7 linked regions of the Cricetulus griseus genome follow. The protein of the gene in region 3 binds, or shares a complex with, the protein of the main gene of each other region. Links are inferred from orthologs where the notes say so. Each region holds a gene or a part of one and is shown on either strand. Other genes may lie near its edges. The genes, in order: Brd8, Anp32e, Ruvbl2, Asdurf, Morf4l2, Pfdn6 and Epc1.

The links.
Region 1: Ruvbl2 (region 3) and Brd8 share a complex: the UniProt entries of both Homo sapiens proteins name them as parts of the nuA4-related complex. The link is inferred for Cricetulus griseus from reciprocal best matches to the Homo sapiens genes RUVBL2 and BRD8.
Region 2: Ruvbl2 (region 3) and Anp32e share a complex: the UniProt entries of both Homo sapiens proteins name them as parts of the SWR1-like complex. The link is inferred for Cricetulus griseus from reciprocal best matches to the Homo sapiens genes RUVBL2 and ANP32E.
Region 4: Ruvbl2 (region 3) and Asdurf share a complex: the UniProt entries of both Homo sapiens proteins name them as parts of the PAQosome complex. The link is inferred for Cricetulus griseus from reciprocal best matches to the Homo sapiens genes RUVBL2 and ASDURF.
Region 5: Ruvbl2 (region 3) and Morf4l2 share a complex: the UniProt entries of both Homo sapiens proteins name them as parts of the nuA4 histone acetyltransferase complex. The link is inferred for Cricetulus griseus from reciprocal best matches to the Homo sapiens genes RUVBL2 and MORF4L2.
Region 6: Ruvbl2 (region 3) and Pfdn6 share a complex: the UniProt entries of both Homo sapiens proteins name them as parts of the PAQosome complex. The link is inferred for Cricetulus griseus from reciprocal best matches to the Homo sapiens genes RUVBL2 and PFDN6.
Region 7: Ruvbl2 (region 3) and Epc1 share a complex: the UniProt entries of both Homo sapiens proteins name them as parts of the nuA4-related complex. The link is inferred for Cricetulus griseus from reciprocal best matches to the Homo sapiens genes RUVBL2 and EPC1.

The regions. Positions count from the first base shown.
Region 1 is NC_048595.1:202,872,978-202,876,477, reverse strand, and holds part of Brd8 (bromodomain-containing protein 8), read right to left. Parts: intron 3,229-3,500; coding exon 3,014-3,228; intron 2,654-3,013; coding exon 2,561-2,653; intron 2,396-2,560; coding exon 2,327-2,395; intron 1,826-2,326; coding exon 1,648-1,825; intron 1,621-1,647; coding exon of another isoform or gene 1,569-1,620; exon of another isoform or gene 1,165-1,568; intron 508-1,164; coding exon 403-507; intron 1-402. UniProt on the Homo sapiens protein: May act as a coactivator during transcriptional activation by hormone-activated nuclear receptors (NR). Isoform 2 stimulates transcriptional activation by AR/DHTR, ESR1/NR3A1, RXRA/NR2B1 and THRB/ERBA2.
Region 2 is NW_023276806.1:60,578,861-60,582,360, forward strand, and holds part of Anp32e (acidic leucine-rich nuclear phosphoprotein 32 family member E), read right to left. Parts: intron 3,181-3,500; coding exon 3,011-3,180; intron 1-3,010. UniProt on the Homo sapiens protein: Histone chaperone that specifically mediates the genome-wide removal of histone H2A.Z/H2AZ1 from the nucleosome: removes H2A.Z/H2AZ1 from its normal sites of deposition, especially from enhancer and insulator regions.
Region 3 is NC_048599.1:154,327,824-154,331,323, forward strand, and holds part of Ruvbl2 (ruvB-like 2), read right to left. Parts: intron 3,431-3,500; coding exon 3,324-3,430; intron 3,114-3,323; coding exon 3,020-3,113; intron 2,930-3,019; coding exon 2,806-2,929; intron 2,456-2,805; coding exon 2,361-2,455; intron 2,277-2,360; coding exon 2,158-2,276; intron 532-2,157; coding exon 412-531; intron 189-411; coding exon 59-188; intron 1-58. UniProt on the Homo sapiens protein: Possesses single-stranded DNA-stimulated ATPase and ATP-dependent DNA helicase (5' to 3') activity; hexamerization is thought to be critical for ATP hydrolysis and adjacent subunits in the ring-like structure contribute to the ATPase activity.
Region 4 is NC_048595.1:402,525,059-402,529,311, reverse strand, and holds the start of Asdurf (ASNSD1 upstream open reading frame protein), read right to left. Parts: upstream 2,801-4,253; 5' UTR 2,693-2,800; coding exon 2,603-2,692; intron 981-2,602; coding exon 927-980; intron 1-926.
Region 5 is NC_048604.1:43,664,635-43,668,134, forward strand, and holds part of Morf4l2 (mortality factor 4-like protein 2), read left to right. Parts: intron 1-1,982; 5' UTR 1,983-2,083; intron 2,084-3,057; 5' UTR 3,058-3,081; coding exon 3,082-3,500. UniProt on the Homo sapiens protein: Component of the NuA4 histone acetyltransferase complex which is involved in transcriptional activation of select genes principally by acetylation of nucleosomal histone H4 and H2A.
Region 6 is NW_023276806.1:232,074,232-232,077,720, forward strand, and holds Pfdn6 (prefoldin subunit 6), read left to right. Parts: upstream 1-1,484; 5' UTR 1,485-1,794; coding exon 1,795-1,858; intron 1,859-2,103; coding exon 2,104-2,174; intron 2,175-2,257; coding exon 2,258-2,382; intron 2,383-2,782; coding exon 2,783-2,906; 3' UTR 2,907-2,989; downstream 2,990-3,489. Other genes in the region: Wdr46 (WD repeat-containing protein 46), read right to left, coding at 69-156, 262-374, 511-591, 682-891, 1,025-1,093. UniProt on the Homo sapiens protein: Binds specifically to cytosolic chaperonin (c-CPN) and transfers target proteins to it. Binds to nascent polypeptide chain and promotes folding in an environment in which there are many competing pathways for nonnative proteins.
Region 7 is NC_048596.1:208,120,077-208,122,705, reverse strand, and holds part of Epc1 (enhancer of polycomb homolog 1), read right to left. Parts: intron 2,605-2,629; coding exon 2,463-2,604; intron 2,351-2,462; coding exon 1,987-2,350; intron 1-1,986. UniProt on the Homo sapiens protein: Component of the NuA4 histone acetyltransferase (HAT) complex, a multiprotein complex involved in transcriptional activation of select genes principally by acetylation of nucleosomal histones H4 and H2A.

The sequences.
Region 1 (3,500 bases), on a different chromosome or scaffold from region 3:
TTCCACAGAAACTCGGTCACAGGTACCCCAAAACTCAGGATAGAGACAAAAGAACCACACACACAGCACAAAGACAAAAATGTCCAACTTGAGAAAAAGAGGAGAAAGATCCCACAGCCACCTGCCATAGGACCCCATAGGAGCTAGTCATCAAATGCTGTGAGCTGCTTTATCCCCCACCAGACAACACTCTCCTAGAGGATTAATAATTCACTCACTCAGCTCAAACTCTCTCCCATTAACTGGACCTCTCAGTCACAGCAGATTTCTTCAACAGTTAGACAGAAGTAAGCTACCCCCATTCTAACATCTATTTGCATGCCACTGGCTTGCAGAAGGTTAGCAATATTAGAGTAACTGAAGGCTCTCTGGATGCTTTAGACTTCATTTTTGTCTCCTTACCTTCTCTGAAGCATCTTGTTTTCGGGTAGAATCTCTCCCCCGAAGACTTTTAGCACTGATTCCAGACTCAGATGTTTGCATAATCAACTGTGTGGCCAAGAATTGCTATAAGGAGAAGAAAAAAGTTTGGCCACAAAGATCTAATCCAGTAGGAAAGAACCATTATACTGCAGGTTTTATGACTATAACTTATATACAACTCTCCTATTCAATACTTCTTGGTTTACTTTAAAGGCTTAATTCTAGCTATTCCTTAAGAATTTAGAAGCAAAAAGTACCTTTTAAATAAAATAAACCAAAGACCTTTTAGCAATTAAAGTTACTTGGCAGACTTAACAAAGTCAGCATCATAAAGGGTGTGTGGTGAGACAACTATAAGAATAAAGCAGACTTTTGTGATAAACGGGGATTACACGGATTACACACTCTTTTGGTTGAGTACATGTGCCAGGATATTTTACGTAATTAAAAAAGAACATTAACCCCTTAAAAACTGATTTTCAGGCTGGGCAGTGGTGGCACACGCCTTTAATTCCAGCACTCAGGAGAGAGAGGCAGGCAGATCTCTGTGAATTTGAGACCAGCCTGGTCTACAAGAGCTAGTTCCAGGACAGCCTCCAAAGCCATAGAGAAACCCTGTCTCGAAAAACCAAAAACCAAACCAAAATAAAAACTGAATTTTAAAACTTCAGAAGGGCAGCTGAGCATGGTGGCGTACAACTTTAGTCCCAGCACTCAGGAGGCAGAGGCAGGTGGATCTCTGTGAGTTTGAGGCCAACATGAGGTCTACAAATTGAGCTCCAGGCCAGCCAGAGAAACCCTGTCTTGAAAAACAAAAGATTCAAACAAACAAAAAACAAAAACACTACTTCAGAAGGGGCTAGGGATATAGCTTAGATGGAACAGTGCCTGTCTAACATACATGAATCTCTCCCTGGGCTTGATTCCCAAATTGAATAGATTGGGTACAGTGGGGACATGATGTAGCTTAGTGGTAAGGTATTTGGGCAGCTCAAGTGGAACAACAGTTTAGATCCCTACCAACAAGAGCTAAACAGCAGCAGCAAAAAACAAAAACTCAATTCATTTTAATTTCTATCATAATTCTTCTATCAAACTGATAAAACCTATACAACTTCATAAGCAAAAAAGAAAAAAAAAATTACTTATCTGTGTTCCTGATGCCTATTACAACCAAAAGTGAATTCTTCGTCCCTACTGAAAACAAAATGAGCCTCAATGTACCTGGATCTGTTCCAGGACATCTCTCTGCATCTCTACTGCCATGTGATACACATCATGGTCTGAGCTATTATACATAACAGCATTCTGAAACATCAGCATAATGTCACGCTGAAACTCGGCTGTGCTTCGGATCAGTCCATTTTCAATGTTTTTCTTAATTGTTGACAAATCCATAGGTCTAAAAAAAATATATATAAACAGAGCTAATTGGCTGTGGGGGGAGGAGGAGTCACTTGAATTTCTGAATACAGTATCACTATATAGTCCTGTTCACATATACCTTCAGTATTTGCTACCAAGATCTAAATGCCAACCCACTATCCCAAAGCATGTACTCAAATCCCCCCATAAGCCACTCTGAATAACAGGCATCAAGAAAAGTAATGAAAGGTGTTAATTCTTTTAGACTATTAATGCTAACTAGCCACTGCAATGGTCAGTTTAACACTAACCCTAGCATTTACAATCTCAGCATGGGGTAGGCAGTGGCAGGGATTACTCATTCTCTGTGACTTTGAGGCTAGCTTGGTCTATAGAGTTCCAGGCCAACCAGGGCTATATATAGTGAGACCCTGTCTCAAAACAAAACATCCTTGCTTTAAATTTACTACCTAAAGCAAATATTCACTTAAGTCTACACAAATTATAAGTCAGGTGTGTTAGTTAGACTATGACTTACCTCTGCACAATGCTATGGTAGCCAGGTGCTATGTCATCTGTAACAGGTTGCAGGAACACATTAGCATATCTGTCCAAAAATAGGTTTATCATTGATTTATTCTCCAGAAGCAAAAGGAGAAAATTTATTCTATGCAGCAGAAGGTACTTAGAACCAACACCAACATAAGCAGTCTCATAGCTTACTCAAATAATTTCCTAAGCCAATAATGAGGAGTTGGTAATGCCTGCTTACCTATGATTTGCTGCAGCCCTCCATACAAGCATAATGGCTTTCTTCCATATTTTCTGAGCCTGAATTGCTTCTTGATCTTCACTACACACAGAGCTGAAATAGACACAGGATCGCTACTAAGCATTAAAAGAAAAAAAAAAAAAAGTCCTATTTCTCTTCAACTAATTATTTCAAGCCGAGAAAGGGAAAATAACAAGTAAAATTAAGGCTAGGGTATGGCTCTATGGTAAAATGCTTACCTAGCATTCAAAAGTTCAATGCCCCAAAACACCAGCCCCCACCCCCAACACCCCTACAGTTGTTCACTCCTATAATCTGTCTGTAATCCCAGCACTTGGGAGACAAAAGCAAGGGAATTAGGAGTTCAAGATCACCCTCAGCTATGCAGTATGAATTGAACACCAGCCCATGAGATCATGTCTAAAAATTAAGAAAAAGAATCACAATACTCACAACTGTGAAGAGGCAGGGCTGCTTGGGATAGAGTCTGCCAGTGTGTGTGACTGTAGAGTGGCATTATGTATACTAAAGCCATCATCACTTTCGCTCACAGGGGGTTCATTATCCATTTCAGACAAATAGCCTTCTCCTTGATCCTCTTCCTTAGGCTCCTCTAGGCTAGCTACTTCACTGACTCCATCTTCTTCCTCCTCCTCACCTGGAGCATCCTTAGACACAGTATGCATTAGTCAACAAATGCAAGCAAAGCTACCTAGTAAAGCATTATTAAATGAGATCTGTTTTTAGGTTAGCTCTAGAAATGGCCTCACACTTTTTTGGGGAGGTGCTGAGCCCTCTATCACTTATACTACCCTCTACTTAACTGACTAAGTAAGATAAAGTAATTTAGAACCTGGACAAAGAATAAAGCCCAGGATCTTTTTTAAAGGAAGGAAAAAAAAAAAAAAAAAAAAAGCTACTTACTTAAGACTAAGCTAAG
Region 2 (3,500 bases), on a different chromosome or scaffold from region 3:
CTAAAACACCTGACGGTCTAATAAAGAGCTGAACAGCCAACAGAGATGCAGAAAGGAGGATAGGCAGGACTGGCAGGCAGGGAGTATAAACTGAAAGAGAAAAAAAGCAGCAGCAAGAGAATAAGAAAACGTCAGGGCCAGCCACCACCGCAGAGTAAGAAGGAAAGAAAGATATACACAAGTAAGAAAAATTTTTGGTTATGAGCCTAGCCTTTAATGGCTGAGCCATCTCTCCAGTGGTGCACCACTACTACTCAACTTTGTGTCTTATTTCATGCAGATGACTCAGAATGTGATCATACAGAGATTGGATTCCCCAGAACCCACATAAAGCTGGGTTCAGCAATGTACACCTGTAGTCCTGATTCCTGCTGATATCTAAAGCTGTCCTCTGATCTCCCCATGCATGTCACGACCCATACTCACAAACATGAACACTCACAAAAACAGAAACATGCATGCATGCATGCATACAACATGTGCACTCTCTCTCTCTCTCTCTCTCTCTCTCTCTCTCTCTCTCTCTCTCTCTCTCTCTCTCCCTCCCTCTCTCTCTCTTTCTCTTAAAAATAAGATGGGCTGGAGGAGAAATGGCTCAAAGGTTAAGAGCACTAGCTGTTCAATAACCAGCAACCATATGGTGGCTCACAACCACCAGTAATGAGACCTGGTGCCCTCTTCTGGCCTGCAGGCATACATGCAGACAGAACACTGTACACATCATAAATAAATCTTTATCAGTGCGGTGGTGCCGCACGCCTTTAATCCCAGCATTCGGGAGGCAGAGGCAGGAGGATCTCTGTGAGTTTGAGGCCCGCCTGGTCTACAAAGTGAGTTCCAGGACTGGTTCCATAGCTACAGAGAAACCCTGTCTGGAAAATAAATAAATAAATAAATAAGCAAGAAACCAGGTGTGATGGCACAAGCCTGTAATCCCAGCACTTATGAAGCTTAGGCAGGAGGACCATGAGTTCAAAGACAGCCTGAGCTACACAATAAGACCCCATCTTGAAAAGGGAAAAATAACCACCTGTAGAGATAGCTCACCGATTAATAGTGAAGAGGACCTAGGTACTGCTTCCAGCACTTGGTTCACAAATAGCTGTAATTCCAGCTCCAAGGGATACTATGCCCTCTTTGGGCCTCGTAGTCACCATTCACACAGGCGGTACACAGACAGGCATGTAGGCAAAATACCCACACATACATAATAAAAATAAATAACTTTTAAGGAAAATAAAATGCATAATCAAATATGCCATTTCCTTCTTATTTATTTTTGATTACCAGAAGTCTGATGCTTACCTGGCACTTAGCTCCTAAAAACAAGAACTTTTGGGTTTATTGGTTTGTTTGTTCTGAGACAAGGTTCCTCTGTAGCCTAGGCTATCCTAGAGCATACTAGGTAGCCTATGCTATCATTAAACTCCTTGCCTCACCCTCTGCTGGGGTTATGGTGATGACCTACCCCATACCTAGCTAAGCTAAGACTTCATTTTTGAACACCCAAACTATCCTATCTAGAATGAAAATGCTTCCTGGCCCCACACAAACTTAATGCTATATATATTTCAGAGATTTCTGATTAATGCTTGGCCATGTCATTTTGAGTTAATATTCCCAAACATTCAGTAGAATAATATACCTAAATGTAAGTTATCCCACAGTTGGTTGAAAGTAACTTTTAAAACAGGAGTGGTGAATGTCTGTGTGATCCCAGCACTCAGCAGGCAGAAGTCAGAGGACCGCCACAAATTCAATGGCAGCATGCAGTGTATGAGTCTAAGGCCAGCCTGGGGTACAGAGTAAAATAAGTCCATCCCCACACATTCATACACTTCAAAGTGCAATTTTTAGGGCTGGAGAGATGGCTCAGAGGTTAAGAGCACTGGCTGCTCTTTCAGAGGTCCTGAGTTCAATTCCCAGAAACCACAGGGTGACTCACAACCATCTGTAATGAGATCTGGTGCCCTCTTCTGGCCTGCAGGGATACATGCAGGGAGAGCATTGTATAATAACAAATTGTAATTCATTTCAAATTTAAAAATAGTATCAGGAAAATAAGAACCATTCATCAGATATTATCTACCTAACCATCACTACCTAAGAAAAACTACAGATAATGATGCATGCTTTGTGGCATCTATCAAGAAGGCAAGTATTGGTCTTATCATCGGCATACTATAAAGGCGCACTGTAGAGGATAGCTCTAAGCTGTCATTGAGATCCAGCCTGGGCTACACAGCTTGTTCCATGACGGCGGGCTACACACAGAAACCCTTTCTTGGAAAAAAAAAAAAGGAGGAGGAAAGCTACTGGGAGATGCAGAAGTATAAAGCAAGAAGAGATAATTGGAGGGAACACATTATTCCAGGACTCTGCAGTGTCTATAATGTGCCAACAAGGAACTAGGTACTTTATAGACTCAGATTCATAAAATGTTTTCACCATCCCATGGCACTGGGGGCAGAATCAATTATCTGAGATAAAAAGCAACAAGCAATGACAGTTCTAATGGAGCCACCTTGACATCTGGCTGAGTCTGCCCATCTGAAGCCCACCCAAGTCAGAAAGAGGCAACTTTGCCTTTTTCTTTCTCTCTTTGGATGCTGGCCAAAACCAATACTTTTTCTGATAACTGGGGTCTCCATACTCCTTCTCTGAAGCCCCCTTCCCTGCCACGTGACTGCTTGTCCAAAGTGTGTCTGACCTCAATGCCAGCTTTGGTTTTTTTTCTCTTCTCCCCTCCATTCTCCTCCAGGGAGCTGCTGGGACTTAGAGCTTGCCTACCCTGGGAGTTTCTTGTTTTGTTTTTTCAATAAAACTGTCCTTGAACTAAAAACTAAAAAAGCCACCAAGTGTTCATGGCTGTCTGGATACACTATAGAGCGTCCAGTAAGTAGGAAGCTGGAAGAGAAGACGGACAGATGCTTACCCACAAGTTAGGAAATAACGCACAACTCACTTTACAGTACTCAGCCTTGTGTACAAATATCAAGTTTCCATTCACCTGAATTTCTTCTTTCATTAAGTATGAAAGGCCCACCTCCTCTTCTCCCTCTCCCACTTCTGAACCGGCTTCGTCCTCATCCTCCTCCTCCTCCTCATCCTCCTCCTCGTCATATCCTTCAGGTGGCCCAGCTTCATCTTCTTCCTCATCCTCCTCATCTTCATCTCCATCTTTAAAAAACATTTTAAAGATGAGCAAATAGCTGGGCACAACTTTAATCCCAGCACCCAGAGGCACAGGAGATAGATCTCAAGGCTAGCTAGTGAGTTCCAGAATAGCAGGAGTTACGTCTCAAAAAGAAAAAACCGGGCTGGAGAGATGGCTCAGCGGTTAAGAGCACTGACTGACTGCTCTTCCAGAGGTCCTGAGTTCAGTTCCCGGCAACCACATGGTGGCTCACAACCACCTTGAATGAGATCTGGTGCCCTCTGCTGGCCTGCAGGCACAAGACTGTATACGTAATAAATAAATAAAAATCTTTAAAAAAAAA
Region 3 (3,500 bases):
GTCTGTAGGCTACCCCAGGGTCATCCCTTCAGTCCTCCAGGCTAACTTGCTAGCTTACCTTTCGTTTCCGGCACACCAGACTGGCTGCTGTGATGAGCTGGATGGCATAGCGCAGGGAGGTCTCTAGCCCAATGCGGGTCAGCACTGTGTAGGCGTCCTCACTCATCTCCACATCTTCCTCCTCACAGCTGTGGGCAGGCAGGCCTCAGCCAGACAGAATGGCACATCACCCCACCCATCCCCCCAAAGACACGTGACACATGCCTCAGAACCACATATGAGGGGCTCCCAACCCTACCCCCAGAACTCCCCCACTGGTAGGATGCCATACTGGTCTTCTCAGATGCAGAGGCCTAGGTGAATCCCTCCCATCCAATGTGTGTTCCTATAAAGGGGCCAGGGGTGCCCCACCGGATGCGTAGAATCTGCTTGGTGTCCTTCTCACTGTAGGGTGATGTTGACACAATGAGCAAGCGGTCTAGAAGGTCAATGGGGATGCCATGGGGACTTTGGTAGCTGGTGCCTCGGATCCTGGGGGTCAGGGAAGATTGTTAATGGATGCTCCTGGAAACCATGACAGCCATCAGTCCACTTGGGAGCTGAATAACTAACTATATGAGCACAGTCTCTTATCACCTGTAAGCACAGTCCTCCCCAGTAGTGCCAGTGGCTCTCCTGTACCCTGCTGCACAGGCAATTCTTGGTGGGCAATGGGACCCATAACAATTTGTTCCAGTCATAGGCAGTTTAGCCACAAATAATGATGCTGTTCTCCAGGAAGGTGGCTCAGGACAGCTGCCAGACTCCAAACTAGAGTCCAAGAACTAGTGCACTTCCGGGACTGGGGATTGCAGGTGAACGTCATGTGACAAAGGGATTAGAAGCAGCCACCTCCCTCAGAGACCTGAGGACTGGCTCCTCTGTAGGCACTGGTCTAAAGATGCCTCTCCTCTCACCCTGCCACCTTAAACCTATGGCCTTAGCAAGTCGATGAGTTTTGCTGGCCTAAGTGGGAGCGATGGAATGGGGTGAAGAGCAGAGCAGGTGAGGTTGCCAGGCCACAGCCTGTTGTCTACCCTCTACCTTTCTCATAACCACATATAACTCCAGTTCCAGAGGGTACGGCACACTCTTGTGGCATCTGTGCAGACCACATGCATGTGTGCATATATATAAACACACACAAAAGTGAGATGCTTAAGAACACATACTGTTCTTACAAAGGACCCCAGGTGGGCTCCCAGTACCCACAATGGGTAGCTGCTCATAACTGTTTGTCAATTTACCTGCAGGGAACCTGACATACTGTTCTGGACTCTGCACACACCTGAACTCACACTTACACATTACCCCCCGCCTACATACACATCACTCTTTAAAAAAACGGGGGATGGATGCCATGGAAAAACATGAGACAGGCTAATATGCTTGATGAAGCTCATGACCCACCACCAGCGGGAGTCTGGCACCCTGGGTCCTGTCCCTCCTGGGTCTCCAAACTCCAGCCCTCTTAACCTGGGAACCATTGCTTCAGACCTGTTTTTTGTTTGTTTGTTTGTTTGTTTTTGGGCGGGGGACAGGGTTTCTCTGTGGCTTTGGAGGCTGTCCTGGAACTCTGTAGACCAGGCTGGTCTCCAACTCACAGAGATCCACCTGCCTCTGCCTCCCCAGTGCTGGGACTAAAGGCGTCTGCCACCACCGCGTGGCTTGTTTGTGTTTTTTTTTTTTTTTTTTTTTTTTTTTTTAAAAAAAAAAAGGGTCTCATGTAGCCCAGACTAGCATAGAACTCAAAATCCCCGTTTCAGCCTACATAGTATTAGGACTACTGGTGGAGTGGGTGCCACCATGCCCAGAACTCCACAGCATCTTTAGATCAAAACTACTAGTCTGAGTGACTTGCCTGATCCCAGCAGTTTGTGACATGTCTAACAGATGCCCCTGTGCTCAGCACAGGGTGATTTCCTGGGGTATCTTTGGGTGTCTTGGTCAACAGTTCTGAACGACAAGTGGCCCAGGATTGTGGGGGCAACATACAGGGCAAACTTCAGAAGGAGGTGCTAGGTTAACCAACCATGGCACTCAGTCCACTTATGCTCAGGCTGCCATCAATCCCCTGATCCAGAGGGCCCCTTCACCCAGAAATCTACGGCTGCTCACCGGGTGATGCCTCGGTTGGTGGCCATGATGAGGACTGGGGCCATGTCACTCTCCAGGGCCCGGTTGAGGAAGGAGAAACTCTCAATATCTAGCATGTGGACCTCATCGATGAACAGCACCTAGAAGCCATTGGGGCACAGATCAAGCTCACCTCCACCCCTTTCCCCAGGTCATACCCGCCCACCTTGTGTCTAGCCACTCACCCCAGGGATGATCTCCGCCTTGCCCTCCTCCCTCCACTCAGCCACTTTGGCATTGATCTGTTCTCGGACTTCTGACTTGATCTCCCCTGTGTCTCCTGCCAGACACAGGGCACATCAGTGGAGATGGAGACTGGGTCCAGGATCCGGGGTGGGCAAGGACAGAGAAAGACAAATGCCACAGAGGAGGGCTCTACTGCTACAGCAGCAGGGCTAGGACCTGGAGCACTTTAGAAAGGACGGAAGGCCAGGCCCTGACAAAGGGTGTGAGGGCAATGCAGGGAAGGACAAACTCCAGTGGGAACAGAAGGCAAACAGCAGGTCTGGGAAGAAAGACTGAAGGGGCAGGAAAGCCGGGGGTTTGTTGTGCCAAGGGAGGAGAAAGAAGGGACACACCAGAAGGGGGGTACATCAGTTGCTGGGGACTGGTTGGGGAGGGACAGCTGACCTGAGAAGAGGGCCAGGAAGCCCTGAGTGCGGGAGTTGATGACGTCAATCTCATGGAGGGACACAGTGTGCACCACCTCCTTGCGTTTCTGCAGCTCCCCGTCTGGGCACTGCACAAACTTGGTCTATAGGGTTGAGGGCAGGTGTGAGGGCAGCAAGGGCACAGGCACCTCATGACGTCACAAAAGATATACAAACATCCCAGTGCCAGGTACCTGGGAGCCCATGGCATCATAGTCGCGAGCGCGTGTGAAGGAGCGGCCCAGCTTGGAAATCTTGCCAGTGGCCTTATCAATAGTGATCACGTCCCTGCAGGGGCAACAGCAAAGACTGAAAGGGCTGGGCAGAGGTGGCGCATACCCTTAGTTCCAGCATTCAGGAGGAGGCAGGAGGATCTCTGTGAGTTCAGGGCCAGCTTGGTCTACAAGCAAGTTGTAGGACAGCCAGGCAGAGAGACCCTGTCATGGAAAAAAAAACATTCTCACTACCCCAGCCACCTTCATGGTCCCAGTGGCTCACCCGGCCTGGACCTTGTCCTTGGTCAGAGACTCGATCATCTTGGTGCCCAGGTCATAGATGGTCTCCATCTCCGTAGTCTTGAGGGTCAGTTTGCCCACCTTAGATCCCTGAGGGGACACATCAGGAAACCCTTAGATGACCTCACCCCTTTGTGACCACAGCTTCAAAATTGGTGTG
Region 4 (4,253 bases), on a different chromosome or scaffold from region 3:
AATTTACAACATCAGGACATGATTTGCATAGTGATGCTCAACAATCCTATTATCACTTATTTTTGAGCTTCAGTAATATTCAAAACAGCAATTTATCAAATATAAACAGATACAAAGCCACTCGATACTTGCCACCTAGAAAGGGCTGTTTGCATAGTATGTGCCATTATGTCATGTTACTGTCAGTGACAAAGGCTACCACAGCCACAGGGTTATAATTTACTCTTATAAAACAACATGGAGACCTTTTCTGATCAATGAAGGTTCTTTATATTACCACACGGGCACAATACTATAGTTCTTTGCTGCTGTCAAACTTCAGACATTTGATAGAATGCCAATTCATGATTATTACAGATTGCCACTGCAGTTAAATGCCCATGTGTTTTCACGACTGTTTGTTTATTCATCAGTTACTCTAAAAGAAGCTCCAGGTCAAGTCTCATACAGCGTTTATACATTCTGCCAATCTGGTCTCCAGAAGTTTTGTATTAATTTGCCTTAGTTCTAATATTTCATAAATGACAATATCAGAAATGTTGAAAATGTCAGTCATTTTAAAATGCTTGAAAGAGAACAAAATCATTTCTTCATTTAAGATATATTTTTTTAACAGTAAAACTACACATGAGACAGCAGTTTATTTATGAACATGTCATAAAAAAGGAATTAAATAGGTTAAGTTCTTGGAGCATTAAAGTTTGCTGTGGAAAAGGAAGTAATTGTTTCTTTTTTTGTTAAAAATGTAATAGGGAAAGAATCCTGTCAACTTTGAGATTTACTGATACATGCAGAAAAACATGAAAAACAAACTAGGATACTTTAGTTTTAAATTAGTATGTTAGAATTTTGTAATTTTAGCATAAATGATCTAATTCCTGATTTTAATATACTGTATACTATTCCGGATTCCAACAGTAACTTACCCGATTCTTCTTCAGGTTAGAAAGTTCATCCACAAGAATTTTTTGTTCTTTAATCTATTAAAATAAAGAAAAACCTAAAGTAGACGTTTTCAAAGTATGTTTGGTGAGGAAATTCTGAATAATGGGACTGGGGGCTGTCACATACCACCTGTCTAAATGGACACTCTACAGGGCAACAACACCCAGCTGGACTCCGTGGAAAACAGCTGGAGAAGGAAAAGCTGACTTAGACTTGCCAGCTGCCAGTTACCACATGGCTTATACCTTAACCAAAGTGAGCCACTGTTCACCAAAATCAATACCCACCCTTTAATTAGTTTTATAAAGTTTTGTTGTACACTTTTTAAAAAAAGAAAATGAATGTGTTTCTCCCCTTCCCCAACAACAATTACTTTTCATGTATGTACTAGATGATAGCCAGACATTCAGATAAATAGTATTGGATGCCCTACCTGGGGAGATACAGCATCATTTTTCATCTTTGCATCATTCTGTTTGCATGGCAAAGACTGCATACTGCTGTTATCATTAAGCTAGGCTTGTTTGTGACCATCAAATGAATGCCTAACTAGGCAATAACTAATTTAAGTAACCACACACCATCACACACAGTAATAAGAAGCAAGGTCTTTTTTAAAACTCACACCCGCCCTAGTGAGTATGCATCCTTATGTCTCCACGATGGCAGAGGTGAGAGTTATAGTGATGAACTACAAAGCCACACGAGTTCATCTTCCTTGAGACTCAAGTCTGCTTGTATGGTGTTTTATGTTCATTTTAGGAAAGACAGGTAGACATCTCACTTTAGCTGACACCAAAGAAAACTGTGATACAGTGGGAATAAGGTCACTAACCCAAGATGTCACTTGGGACAGAAAAAAAAAAATGTAGAATTTAAAACGTTTAATACTCTCCACTATACATGTTTAAAGACTGTCTGTAATTGGAAGTTAAGATTAATGGTATAGTTCAGCAAGGTGGTGCAACCCTGAAATCATGGCTGTCAGGCAAGAGAATAAGGTCATGCTCCCCTCTCAAACAACAGTGTTTGCGCCTGGCCTGAGAGACACGAAAGCTCAGGAAGGAAGAAAGGAAGGAAGAAAGGGAGGGAGGGAGAGAGGGAGGAAGGAAGGAAGGAAGGAAGGAAGGAAGGAAGGAAGGAAGGAAGGAAGAAAGGAAGGAAGGAAGGAAGAGAAAAGGGGAGGGAGGCAGACAAAGATTAACTTGCAAGAGTCCTACTTAGAGACCATCAGATAAATGTATTTTAGGATCACAGTGGAGGACACAGGCAGCTGGGGACACCCTGAGTCAGAACAGCCAGTGACAGCGTCTGGAAGGACACTGGCAGATTTCTAAACTTTCGGGATGGATGTCAAGGATGGCCCCCAGGCGGGTGCGTAGCTAACAGGGTGAAGCAGATCCACAGAGCAACAGATCCGCGTGAAGGGAAGGGGGACGGTAAGGGGACAGCCCCACCAAACCTCCGCCAGTGTCTCTCCCCCCCCCCCTTTTTGGGGGACAAGCTTCTGTGCCTCCCTCTCTGCAAGTCTGCAGGAAGGAGGGGCAGCCTGAGGCGGGTGCCAAGAACCGACTACGGAAGCGAGGAGCACGCCGCCGGGCTGCCGGGCGCCGCCGGGAACCCCAGCCGGAAGGCGCTCCCCGGCCACCCACCGCACCTTGCTGTTAAGGGCCTCCGTGCGTGCATCCGACTTGTAGGGGGGCACCGGCGCGGCGCGATAGTCTGCTCGTACCCCACTTCGGGGCATCTCCACGCCGGGTCGCACGCCGGTGAGCCCACGGGGATGCACGCCGGTGAGCCGCCGGGACGGAACCGAGGACAGGAAGCCCTGATCCGGCGTGCGAGCTCTCAGTGGACCCGCCCCTTCCGGCATCCCGACCAATGGAGTACGCACACTCACCCCTGCGCAGTAGAGGGCGGTTGGGGGAGTATGGGTGGGAGACTAGACATAGTTATGGGCATGCGCAAACTGGTTTGAACTAAAGGCACAATTGCCTGGTTGCGGAGTTTATGAAGGCTCTGTGTCGTCCCCTAGCGGATCCGATGTATAATAATAATAATAATAATAATAATAATAATAATAATAATAATAATTATTATTATTATTATTATTATTAAAAGGTTCAGGTGAGCTGAGTGGAGACATGAGTATCTGGATCAGTCCAGGTGAAAGCAAAGATATTTTGAGACCAGGTGTGGAGGGGTATAGAGAAAAAGGCATCCTTAAGGTCTAAAACTGAGAAGTGAGATGTCGGGGGGATAGTAGAGAGGAGTGTGTAAGGGTTAGGAACCACAGGATGGAGGGGCACTACCATAGAGTTACGGAGGTCCTGAACCAGACAAAAAGTCCCATTAGGTTTTTTTACTGCCAGTATAGGGGTGTTAAAGGGGGAGGAGGTAGGACGAAGTAGCTTTTTCCTTAGGAGGTCAGAGATAATAGGTTTAAGTCCCTTAAGGCTCTGGAGTGGGAGTGGGTACTGAACTTGAGCAACGTACCTAGAGGGGTCCTGTAACTGAATGACAAGGGGGGATGGTGTCTAGCCACAGAAGGGTTCTGGTAGACCTTGGGGTCTACCTGAGAGGCTGGTAAAGGAAATGACGTACTGGAACCTGTAGGGTGAGTAGCTAGGAGGAGGAGGAGGGGAGCCGCTGGCGAGTCTGGAGTTGGGCGAATGTGGGGAGCAAAAGAAATAGAAGCTCCTACCTTAGCTAGAAGGTCCCTCCCTAGTAAAGGCACAGGACAAGTCGGTATAACCAAAAATGAATGAGTAAGGGGAATCCCCCTAAAAATACAGCTAAGCGGTGGAGTCTGCTGAGGTAAGTAAGGCTGTCCTCCTACCCTGACAATAGGAAGACGAGACAGAGAGGTGGGTCCCCAAAACTCCTTTAGGACTGAGTATGTGGCACCAGTGTCCAAAAGGAAAGAGATAAACCGCCCTGATACTTTAATGTCCACCCGGGGCTCCCTTTCAGAGATGATGGTGGTCGGGTCAAGAGAGCCTGGGCCCTGTCATTCATAGTCCTCATCCATAGCCAGGGCTAAGAGATCAACTGGAAGGCCGTCTGTGTTTGATGTCCTCTTGTCACCTGGGACACGGGGACAGACCACTGACCAATGGCCTACTTCCTGGCATCTAGGACATGGCTTGCTTGGTGCATGGGGGTTCGGGCAACCCCGGGCCCAGTGTCCTTTCTGACCACACTTGAAGCATGGACGCTGCGGTACTCTGGCCCCAGAGGGCAAGGGATCCCGGGCAGATGCTGAGTCCAGTCAGACGGCTTCAGCTAGCATCTGGTATCTGTGCTTA
Region 5 (3,500 bases), on a different chromosome or scaffold from region 3:
ATAAAAGTAAAGATTTGCTGGTGCTTACCGGAGGGTGTAGTGTGACTGATCACTTTTACTCACTGTTAGGGTTGTAAATTATTGCAGGTTTTGAAGGTAAAACAATATAGCACCATGTTAAAAAGCCTTAAATATGTTATGCCTTGATTCACTCCAGCTTGGAGTGTTGGAAAAATGAAAAAAAAATCTTTCATAGCCCAAAAGATGTATATTATAACCTTCATATGGGTACACGATTTTTTAAAGGATTTTTTTTAAAGATGAGATCCAAGATTTGATGCATTGTGCTTACCTATACTTCAATACACAAGTAGAGGCAAATATAAAAATATGTTATAAATGCTTTGGATTGTTCTAGAGCTAGCATGTAGGCATCTAGTGGTCAAGCTCTAGTGGGGCTTTACTTATATATAAACGAGGGAGAGGAAGTTGAATAAAGGTAGGTATGCTAACTAAACATTTAGTAGTGGGATTTGGGGAGCAGGGAAGAGACGCACAAAATGGAGTAAAAATTTAAGCACTGTGTGCCAATATATAATGGCATTATTTTAAAGTTCCTGGGGTGATATTAAACTTCTGGGAAAGGAGTACAGAGCATAGTAAATAGTAAGGCTGTCCTTAAGCATGTAGGCACATCAAGGAGCTTTAATCCCAGCACCTGGGAGGTAGAGTCAGTCCTGGCTTTTATTTACTCTGGTCATACACACTTTGCCCAATGTGTGGACTTTCCTATAGAAATGTCAAGGCATTGCATTTAGCATAGGAATGTGTATGAATGGTAGAATTCTTACAAAATGAGTAAGACTATAATTAATAACAAGGATGTTTCATAAATTCAGCTGTCATTCTCAGGTTTATTGGTAAGGAAGTGCTGATGATCAGTGTGGCATCCAAAATGGTTCCTGGGTGATTTCATTGTTTTAGGATTTTTTTTTTTTTAGTTTTATGGGATAGTTATAGTGAGTCCCAGGGTGGGCTTTCTGGAATTCACTCATTCTCCAAGGTCCTTTTTATCCTATTCACAATTCTACATTTTAAAAAAAGAAAAAAACCCTAGCTATAGCATTTTGTGAACATGGGAGTTTAAAAGATAATGGCTTTTCTAGCTACCATCACTACAGAACCTTTACAGGGCGTATTTTTACGTCTTAAAATAGTGATTTTCATTCCTACGTGGTTAGCTTCTGTATTTGCCAGTTCTAATGTTTGGAAGGCTGGTATTGCCTTTCACTATCTGCATGGAACTTTGTCCTTTGAATTAAAGGATATTTCCATAAATTGCATAATACCCTAAGCACCAGTGGCTTTCATTTCTAAGCAATTCTTAAGTCTGAATTTTCCTTGGCAATTCCATGACACCTAACCACATGATTGGCTAGATCTGGCTTTAATTAAAGCTGGACTGTCATCCTTTTCTCAGAGGTTTCCCTGAATATGTAAGAGTCAGGTTCTACACATTTACACACCTCTTTAAAACAAACAGGGTTGCATTGCTCATAAGAATTGTGCTTAATTTTTCCTGTGCTATCTGTTCATTTTAGGCTCCCTTTCTGTGCTACTTACCTATTTGCCTAAACATTGAACAGCTTTTAGTGTCACTATATGGGCCTCTGCTTAAATAGAGTATTCTGCAGTGGGCATATGTAATTCTTATTACTGTCTCCCTGATGAATATGTAAATGTACACAGTTTCCCGTTACAAATACCACTTCAGTGAATATCTTTGTATCTCCATTCACGTGGGGAAGTGTTTCTGTGGCGTTCTAAGTTAGCTGTTCAGCCATAACGTGGCATGCTTGTAGCAGCCTGTAACAACCAGAAATAGTTTGTCATGTATCATTTGTCTGATTTCTTCCAACTCCATGTGGCAAATCAAGATCTCTTAGAATTTTCCTTCATATGTTAAGACACATTTGTAATTTTTTTCTTGCATATTTCCACAAAAGTTCATCTTCATTTCAGATACCTACTTTCCTTTTTAGGTTGTATTCCCACTTCATCTTTCCAGACCATCCTAGGAGATCTGTCAGATTCCATCTGGGAAATTACTAGGAGTCCTTGGAAGGGAAAGAAGGAAGATTGTGTAAGTCAAGGGGGTTGTTTAATGAGTTGTGCTATATAAGAGTAGCAGGAGACTTATTTTTTTTTTAAGTTTTCCAGAATTCTCTGTGTGAAATTCCTCTGTTCTCAATGAAAAGGTTCACTGTCTCATAGTATATGCTACCAGCTCTACAGCAGTTACTGAAATCTCCATCTCTGCTCTGACCTGAGTTTGAACATTCTGTGTTCAAGTGCACACCCCAGATAGAAAAAGTCCAAAGCTAAGCATCTTTCTCCTCTAAGCAGTTTACTTGTATATATACCATCTCATTTGGTGATGATACAAATAAAATCATCCATCCTCAAAACCTGAAAGTTGTCACTGACACCTGCAGTTTCATCTTCCAGCAAGCAGTCCCTGAGATGTTTTATGCAAATAACCATCATGGGACTAATTTTGCTTTCTGGTGGTGTCAAATTAATCCTTAAAAACCTGCTTTTGATTAACTACTCAGGCTTAGTTGTTCAGAACCCAGTTTGACTCTGACCTTCAATATTGTATTGCTCTGTGTGTGTTTCTCTTCACTGCCATTAATACTAGTTAAGGCCTACCTACACTTGGATACGCAAACCTTTACTGTTAATTCTTTTTACCTGCAACCCATTAAACTACTCTTGCTTATTACTTTCAAATCCTTATTCTTGTTCCAGAGTCTTAAATTTCAGATCCACTTCCTTCTATGGTTTTGTCAAAATCTCTTTCTCTAAAATTAAATCCCTGTCTTTTAAATAGCATCAAGAAACAAATTTGTGGGCATGTCTGATGAGTTGTTGGGTGAGGCAAGGCTTGTGGGTGGTAGTAAGGATTAGAGAAAGGAGAGGATAGAAGTGCACTTATAAATGGTCCAGAAATAGGACCTGAAATCAATATCCAACAGATTTTGGCATGTGTTGTGCTCTGATGGCTCTCAAAGTCACCATAGTAAACAACCAAATAAAATACTTTATATATTACAGTGGTTGGAATAAAAACAGGGTTGAATGAGTTCCAGAAAGCAGGCTTCTCAAACTCGTGGACAACAATCTGCTGAAGAAGACAACTTTAAGAAGCCAACTCGAAGCAACATGCAGAGAAGTAAGATGAGGGGAGCTGCCTCAGGAAAGAAGTCGGCTGGTTCACAGCCAAAGAATCTTGAACCAGCCCTCCCAGGAAGATGGGGCGGTCGCTCTGCTGAGAACCCCCCTTCTGGTTCTGCGCGGAAGACCAGGAAGAACAAGCAGAAGATTCCTGGCAACGGAGATGGTGGCAGTACCAGCGAAGTGCCCCAGCCCCCCCGGAAGAAACGGGCACGGGCTGACCCCACTGTGGAGAGTGAGGAAGCATTCAAGAATAGAATGGAAGTGAAAGTGAAGATTCCCGAAGAGCTAAAACCATGGCTGGTGGAGGACTGGGACTTGGT
Region 6 (3,489 bases), on a different chromosome or scaffold from region 3:
CCCCCCCCCGCGGCTCACCTTGGCAGCACTTGCAATGTCCACAGCCTCCCTCCCCCCCCGCGGCTCACCTTGGCAGCACTTGCAATGTCCACAGCCCCCACGATGTCCGTCTGCAGTATCTTTGCTGTGTCTTCCCCATCTTCTCCCTCCAGGAACCTGAAAGGCAGTCAGGACGACTGAAGTGACGCTCCGCTGCATGCAGCCGGCTACAAACATAAAACCCGCAAAAATCAAAGCCCCAGAAAGGCAGGGGCCGCTCACCCAGGTTCCTCGGTTAGCAGCAGCTCTGCGCGGGCAGCTCTGACGCTCGCCTCTTCCTCCTGCGCTTCAGCCGTCTCAAGTTTGCTCCGGGTTTTCGGCTTCGAATGCGGGAGCTACGGCATGGTTGCCAAGGTTGGCGCACCGAGCGAGCATCCGTGAGGTGCCAGCAAGGCCGCCAGCAGACAAGGCGCCACCCACCTCCTCACCCAGCCTCCAGTCCCTGCCTCCCCACGGTCCCCGCGGCCTCACGGTTCTGGACTTGTCAATTCGGCAGAACTTCCGGGCGCCCTCCACGGGGGCGGGGGCGGGTCCCGGGAACGGGTCCTGGGCCTAGCGAGGGGAAGGAGACGGGCAGACTCGATGGGCCCGGTTCCTCTGGTCCTCAGAGGCGCGGGGCCACCCTGTCAGCCCCAGGCTCACCCCAGACAGGGTCCGCTGCGGCCTCCTCTTCGGGTCTGGGGCGTCCTTCGGGGCCCGCGGCTTCTGGCGGAGCCGAGACTTCTTGGCGGGGTGCGCGCTCTTTGACCTCGGGGGTCGCGGCTCCCGAGTCCTCGCCTTCTTCCGGGGCGGCCCCGGAGAGGCGCCGGCTGCGGCGGGGGTGGCCTCCTCCTCCCAGTACCGCCGCGGCTTCTAGGGGCACAGGAGGAGGCAAGGGCTCGCACCCGCCGGACCCGGAGCCCGAGCCCGATCGGAAGCCCCGAGCCCGAGCCCGATCGGAAGCCCCGAGCCCGAGGGCGGCGTTCGCCTCCACCCAAGCCGCTACCTTCCTCTTGGCCTGGGGCTTGTCCTCCTTGGGTGGGCCACCCCTGCCCGGCTTCGGAGCTGTCTCCATCGCGGCTGTGACCGACGCCAAACAACGATCCACGTGCGAAACTGCCCTCGGCAGCCCCACGGCCCTCTCAGAAACTTCCGGGCGTCCCACGGCCTTCACCCAATCACCGCCGGACGGGAGTCTGAAGCCGCCGGCGCCATCTTGAGTGAGGGCACGCCTGTGCCAGACTGAGCGGAGAGGCTCGCCCGAGGACCAAATGAGGACTAAAAGGCAAGTCTGGGCCCCGAATCCCGGTAGCGACGAGTTCCTTTTTTTCTGCCTTGCCTAATAAAACCCCTCGGGTGCAGTCTTTTCGGTAGGACGAGTTTCCCACAGGTCAGAACGCAGCTTCCGGCGCCGTCTCTGTCCCGGCATGCCTTGTCTACTTCCGGGTGCGTTTAGACAGTGGGCATAACGTGAGGAGGTTGGGGGTCTGGCTTGCGGGAGGGTTTGGGGTTCTGCTTTCGCCCCCCGCTTCCCAGGGGTGTCTCCTGGACGAGGAAGAGCTGCGGAGCCTCGAGGAGCTGCCGGCGGACGCGCAGGGCAGAGAGGGGGGCGCGGGTGCCTTCCTCTGCTCGCTCGAGTCCCCGCGAGCGCCCCGCCCCGCCCCGGAGGCTCGCCCTCCTCACACCGCCCCGGAGGCTCGCCCTCCTCACACCGCCCCGGAGGCTCGCCCTCCTCACCGCCCCGGAGGCTCGCCCTCCTCACCGCCCCGCCCCGCCATGGCCGAGCTGATCCAGAAGAAGCTGCAGGGAGAAGTGGAGAAATACCAGCAGCTGCAGAAGGGTAAGAGAGAGAGCGGAGGCGGCGTGGCCTTGCCCCGTCCGCCCTCAGCTCAGGCACACCCCACGAGACGTCGTGCTCCCTCGGGGGCCCTGCGGGCCGCCCCTGGCGTCGGGGGCCCTGCTCGTCCCCACCACCGACCGACCCAGCCTCTCCGCTGCAGACCCGGTGACGTCTCGAGCCCGTGCTGGGTGCGGTTCTCGGCCCGTCTGATGCCTTTAACCATGCGTTTCCTCTCACCACCTCAGACTTGAGCAAATCCATGTCAGGGAGGCAGAAGCTCGAGGCACAGCTAACAGAAAATAACATCGTGAAGGAGGTGAGGACCTGGGGCGCCGGGGCCGAGAGGAACGCGGCCGGGCACGGTTAGCTCATCAGCCGTCCGTCCCATCCCCTCTCCAGGAACTGGCCTTGCTGGATGGATCCAACGTGGTCTTCAAGCTCCTGGGGCCCGTGCTTGTCAAACAGGAGCTAGGGGAGGCTCGGGCCACGGTGGGGAAGAGGCTGGACTACATCACCGCCGAAATGTGAGTGCCTACCCCGTGCTGGGTAGCTCCCCATAGCGCCCCGCTCCCCTGGAACTCCCTGTGTAGACCAGGCTGGCCTCAGGGATGGGCTTAAAGGCGCCCCCGCTTAAGCCTTTCTTCCACGTTACACGAGTGTGGGGGGTGGGGGGACATGTGTCCGTGGCACACATGTGAAGTCAGAGGACGGCCTGCGGCAGCCTGCTCCTTCCTACCACGTGGGTTCTGGAGACTGAAGTGTCAGCCTCGGAGGAGAACGGTCCAACCCACTGATCCATCTCACCAGCCCTCAGTGTGCCACCCCCATCCCCCAAACCTCGGAATTCCCATCAGTCCCCCAATGCCGCGCAACAGTGAGCCCCCACTGATCTCTCTTCTGCTTGTCTCCCCTTTCCCTCCTCAGTAAGCGCTACGAATCGCAGCTGCGGGACCTTGAGAGGCAGTCAGAGCAACAGAGGGAAACCCTTGCTCAGCTGCAGCAGGAGTTCCAGCGAGCCCAGGCAGCAAAGGCTCCTGGGAAGGCCTGACCCCATGGAAGGGGGAGAGGAGGGAGGGCTGAGTCAGCTCCAGGGTCTACACTAGAATAGCCAATAAAATGTAAACAAAACCAGTGCCTTGTACACACTCTTTTTCCCTGAGATAGAGCTCTTGACACTGGAATCTCTGGCCGTGTTTCAGTGGTGGTTTTCCTGGTGCTGAGAACTAAAATCCGGGTCTTCTTGCCTATGTGCCTTCTTTTGAGTCTGAAATGTCTCAAGCTGTTTCTTGCCTGTTCATATAACCCTTTATCTTCCCTTATGTTGGCTGGTGCAACCCTGAGATGGGAAATATAACCTTAGGATGCAATGTAGTGTGTTGTTAAGTGTCAGTTTAGCCATAGAACCCAGTTCTCTAGCCTGAGAGCCCAGGATATGATGTGGTCACCCAAGAGCACTTGTCCCCAAAGGGCCCTAGATCATTAGCTTGTCTTCACCGCTGTCTTAGCATTGGTTTGAATCTAACTTGTTTGTTTTGGTTTGTTTGAGACAGGGTTTCTCTGTGTAGCTCTGGCTATCGTAGATCTCGCTCGCTCTGTAGACTAGGCTGGCCTCAAATTCAGAGATCCTCCTG
Region 7 (2,629 bases), on a different chromosome or scaffold from region 3:
TGCAAACCCTCTCTAACCCTTTATATAATTGTGTATGTGCCTATGTGCGCCAGTGTGGAGGTCAGAGGAATATCTTGCCCGGTTTGGTTCTCTCCCTCTACCAGGTGGATGCAGGGAATCAAACTCAGGTTGTCAGACTTGAGGGCAAGCACCTTTACCCACGGAGCCAACTGATTGATGTCAGGGCTTTAAATCTGGGTCCTAATGAGCCTCACAAAGGAAGTCAGATACAGGACTAGTAATCAGAACACTAGGGTTGTCTGCAGGGATCCTTGGAAAGTCCACTGACCTCTAGGAATTTGTTTCCTGCTTTTAAACAGAGACAGGGATCTGAGAAGTCCCATATACCACAAATGTTCCCATATTTGTACAATTCTACAGCAATGAAAGTCATGACAGTTGGTGATGGAGGAAGAAGGGGAACCACAGTCCACCCATTAGCCATGACTAGACCAACAATACATACTGGTACTGAGCAGAGAGGGACCTGTGGGTGTGTAAAGTAAAGGCTACCAATAAGCTGCTATAAAATTGCTTTCCCTGCAACTCCCCAACTCTTGGCTAAAGAAATCTTAATGTTGGTCCAACACAAGTTGCTTGTGTGGTCTGCCCTCCTCCTGTCATTCCTTTTCTATTAAGCTTCCTAAGTCCCTAGGAAAACCGAGTACTTGTTAACCACTAAACACTTGCATTTCCCCAGCGTTATATTTCCGTTTGCCAACTCCAACTTCTAGAAATGCCCCTTTTCTTCATCCAATCAATTATTACTCCAGGTGGAATTAGATATTTTCTAGAACATACTCAGAATTACTGTGGTGTAAAAAGATTTCTCTTTGTTTTCAAATGATAGTCATTGTCTATATAATGAACTGGACAACATAACAGTGCTTTAAGATACATCCAGAATAGTTTTCACCGGCACCGTCTCTTAACATTAGCTTTCATATTTTAGGCTATTTCTTGCTAATCTGAAAAATGCAGGTCTTTGTTTCTTTTTCTCCTAGTACCTTGCAGCAGTGGGGTTTTAATTATAGTTGATATTGAAAGTGTGATACAGCCTTAACAAAATGCTAAACTGTCTACTGAAATTCAAGAAGGCGAGTGACCAGGGAAACAATGCCTCAGTTAAATGTCACCAGGCAAGGATGCCATTTCCACTATTAAGAGTAACTTGCAGGAAGGTTTACCAATTCTGCTCACACAGTAAACTACAGACAAAACCAGCAACACAAACATCCTAAAGAGAACACCTTCCACCCAAAGGCTGGGGAAGAGTGAGAACATTCTAAGTAAGTTATTGCTGCATTAAGAGAGGGAGACCCTGGGAGTTAAGAGCACTGACTGCTCTCTTCCAGAGGATCAGATAGGGTTCAATTCCAAGCACCCACATGGCAGCTAGCAACTTTCTGTAACTCCAAGATCTGACTCCCTGACACAGACATACATGCTGACAAAACATATGTATGAGGCCCAAGTCACATAACTATCACTATCTCAGTGGACTGGCTCATTCTCAACTAAAACTGAATTCAACTGACAGAATTACAGCATCCACATGCTCAGTTTTTAAATAAACGAGGGTTTCTTATATCTACACATTTTGAATACATGGAAGGAAAAGCAGAGAAAACTCGGGGACAGCCACTCCAGAAGGCTGAAGTTAGATGTCTTACTTTTCAAACATTTTTTTTTTTCCATCTAAAAAAAAAATTTTTTTAATTTCATTTTGCATTCCAATCACAGTTCTCCCTCCCACCTCCCTGCCCTCGACGGCCTCCCTAACCCACCCCCAGTCCACTCCTCCTCTCGGGTAAGGGTTCCCATGAGGAGTGAACATAGACCAGCACAATAGGTTGGGGGAGTGGGCTCCAACAAGCTAACTCATGTACTGGGGATTATATTGTGGTCCTACTGCCACTGTGCATGGCATCCCACTCTAAGGAATGGGCTCTTTCCTAACATTTTAAACTTAGAATAACTACTCACCTTGGAACTGAATCTACAGAGGATGATGAGGGGACCTTGGAAACTTGACAGTTTGCCGCGGCAGCCAGCTTTAAGGCAGATGACGGAACAGCACTTAAAGTCCTAGGTATATGTCGTGCATTTATTGGGGCGATAGAGTTTACAGTGGGGACTGATGAAGGTACAGTTAATCGAATGTTGTTCCCAAACAGAACCTGAGTTGTTGCAGAATTGGCAGCAGTTACTTGATGACTCAGTGCACTGTGGGAACCCGAAGTCTGTGTGATATTTGAAGGCTGTAACAAAGTTGAACCTGCTGTCGACGGACTCGTATGCACAAGCGCTGTTGGTGTAGTGCTACTGAGGTGTAAGCCCTTGTATACTCCTGGGGAGAGAAAGGGAGCATGTAAACACTGCATTCTGTGTCTGTGCCACAATGTGCACAAATATGTATGCACAGCAAAACCACAGGGCCACGGAGATGTCTCTATCCTCACCTGAGGCTGGAAGGACGCCATTCACCCCAATCCCAAGCACCACATCATCCTTCATCTTGAATCCCATCAGCTGTTCTGACGTCATCAAAGCAGAAGCAGCAAACTGCGCACTAGCAGAATCCAAAGTCTTAGAAACAAAACCCTGGAAGGAGAAAACAAAAGAAAAG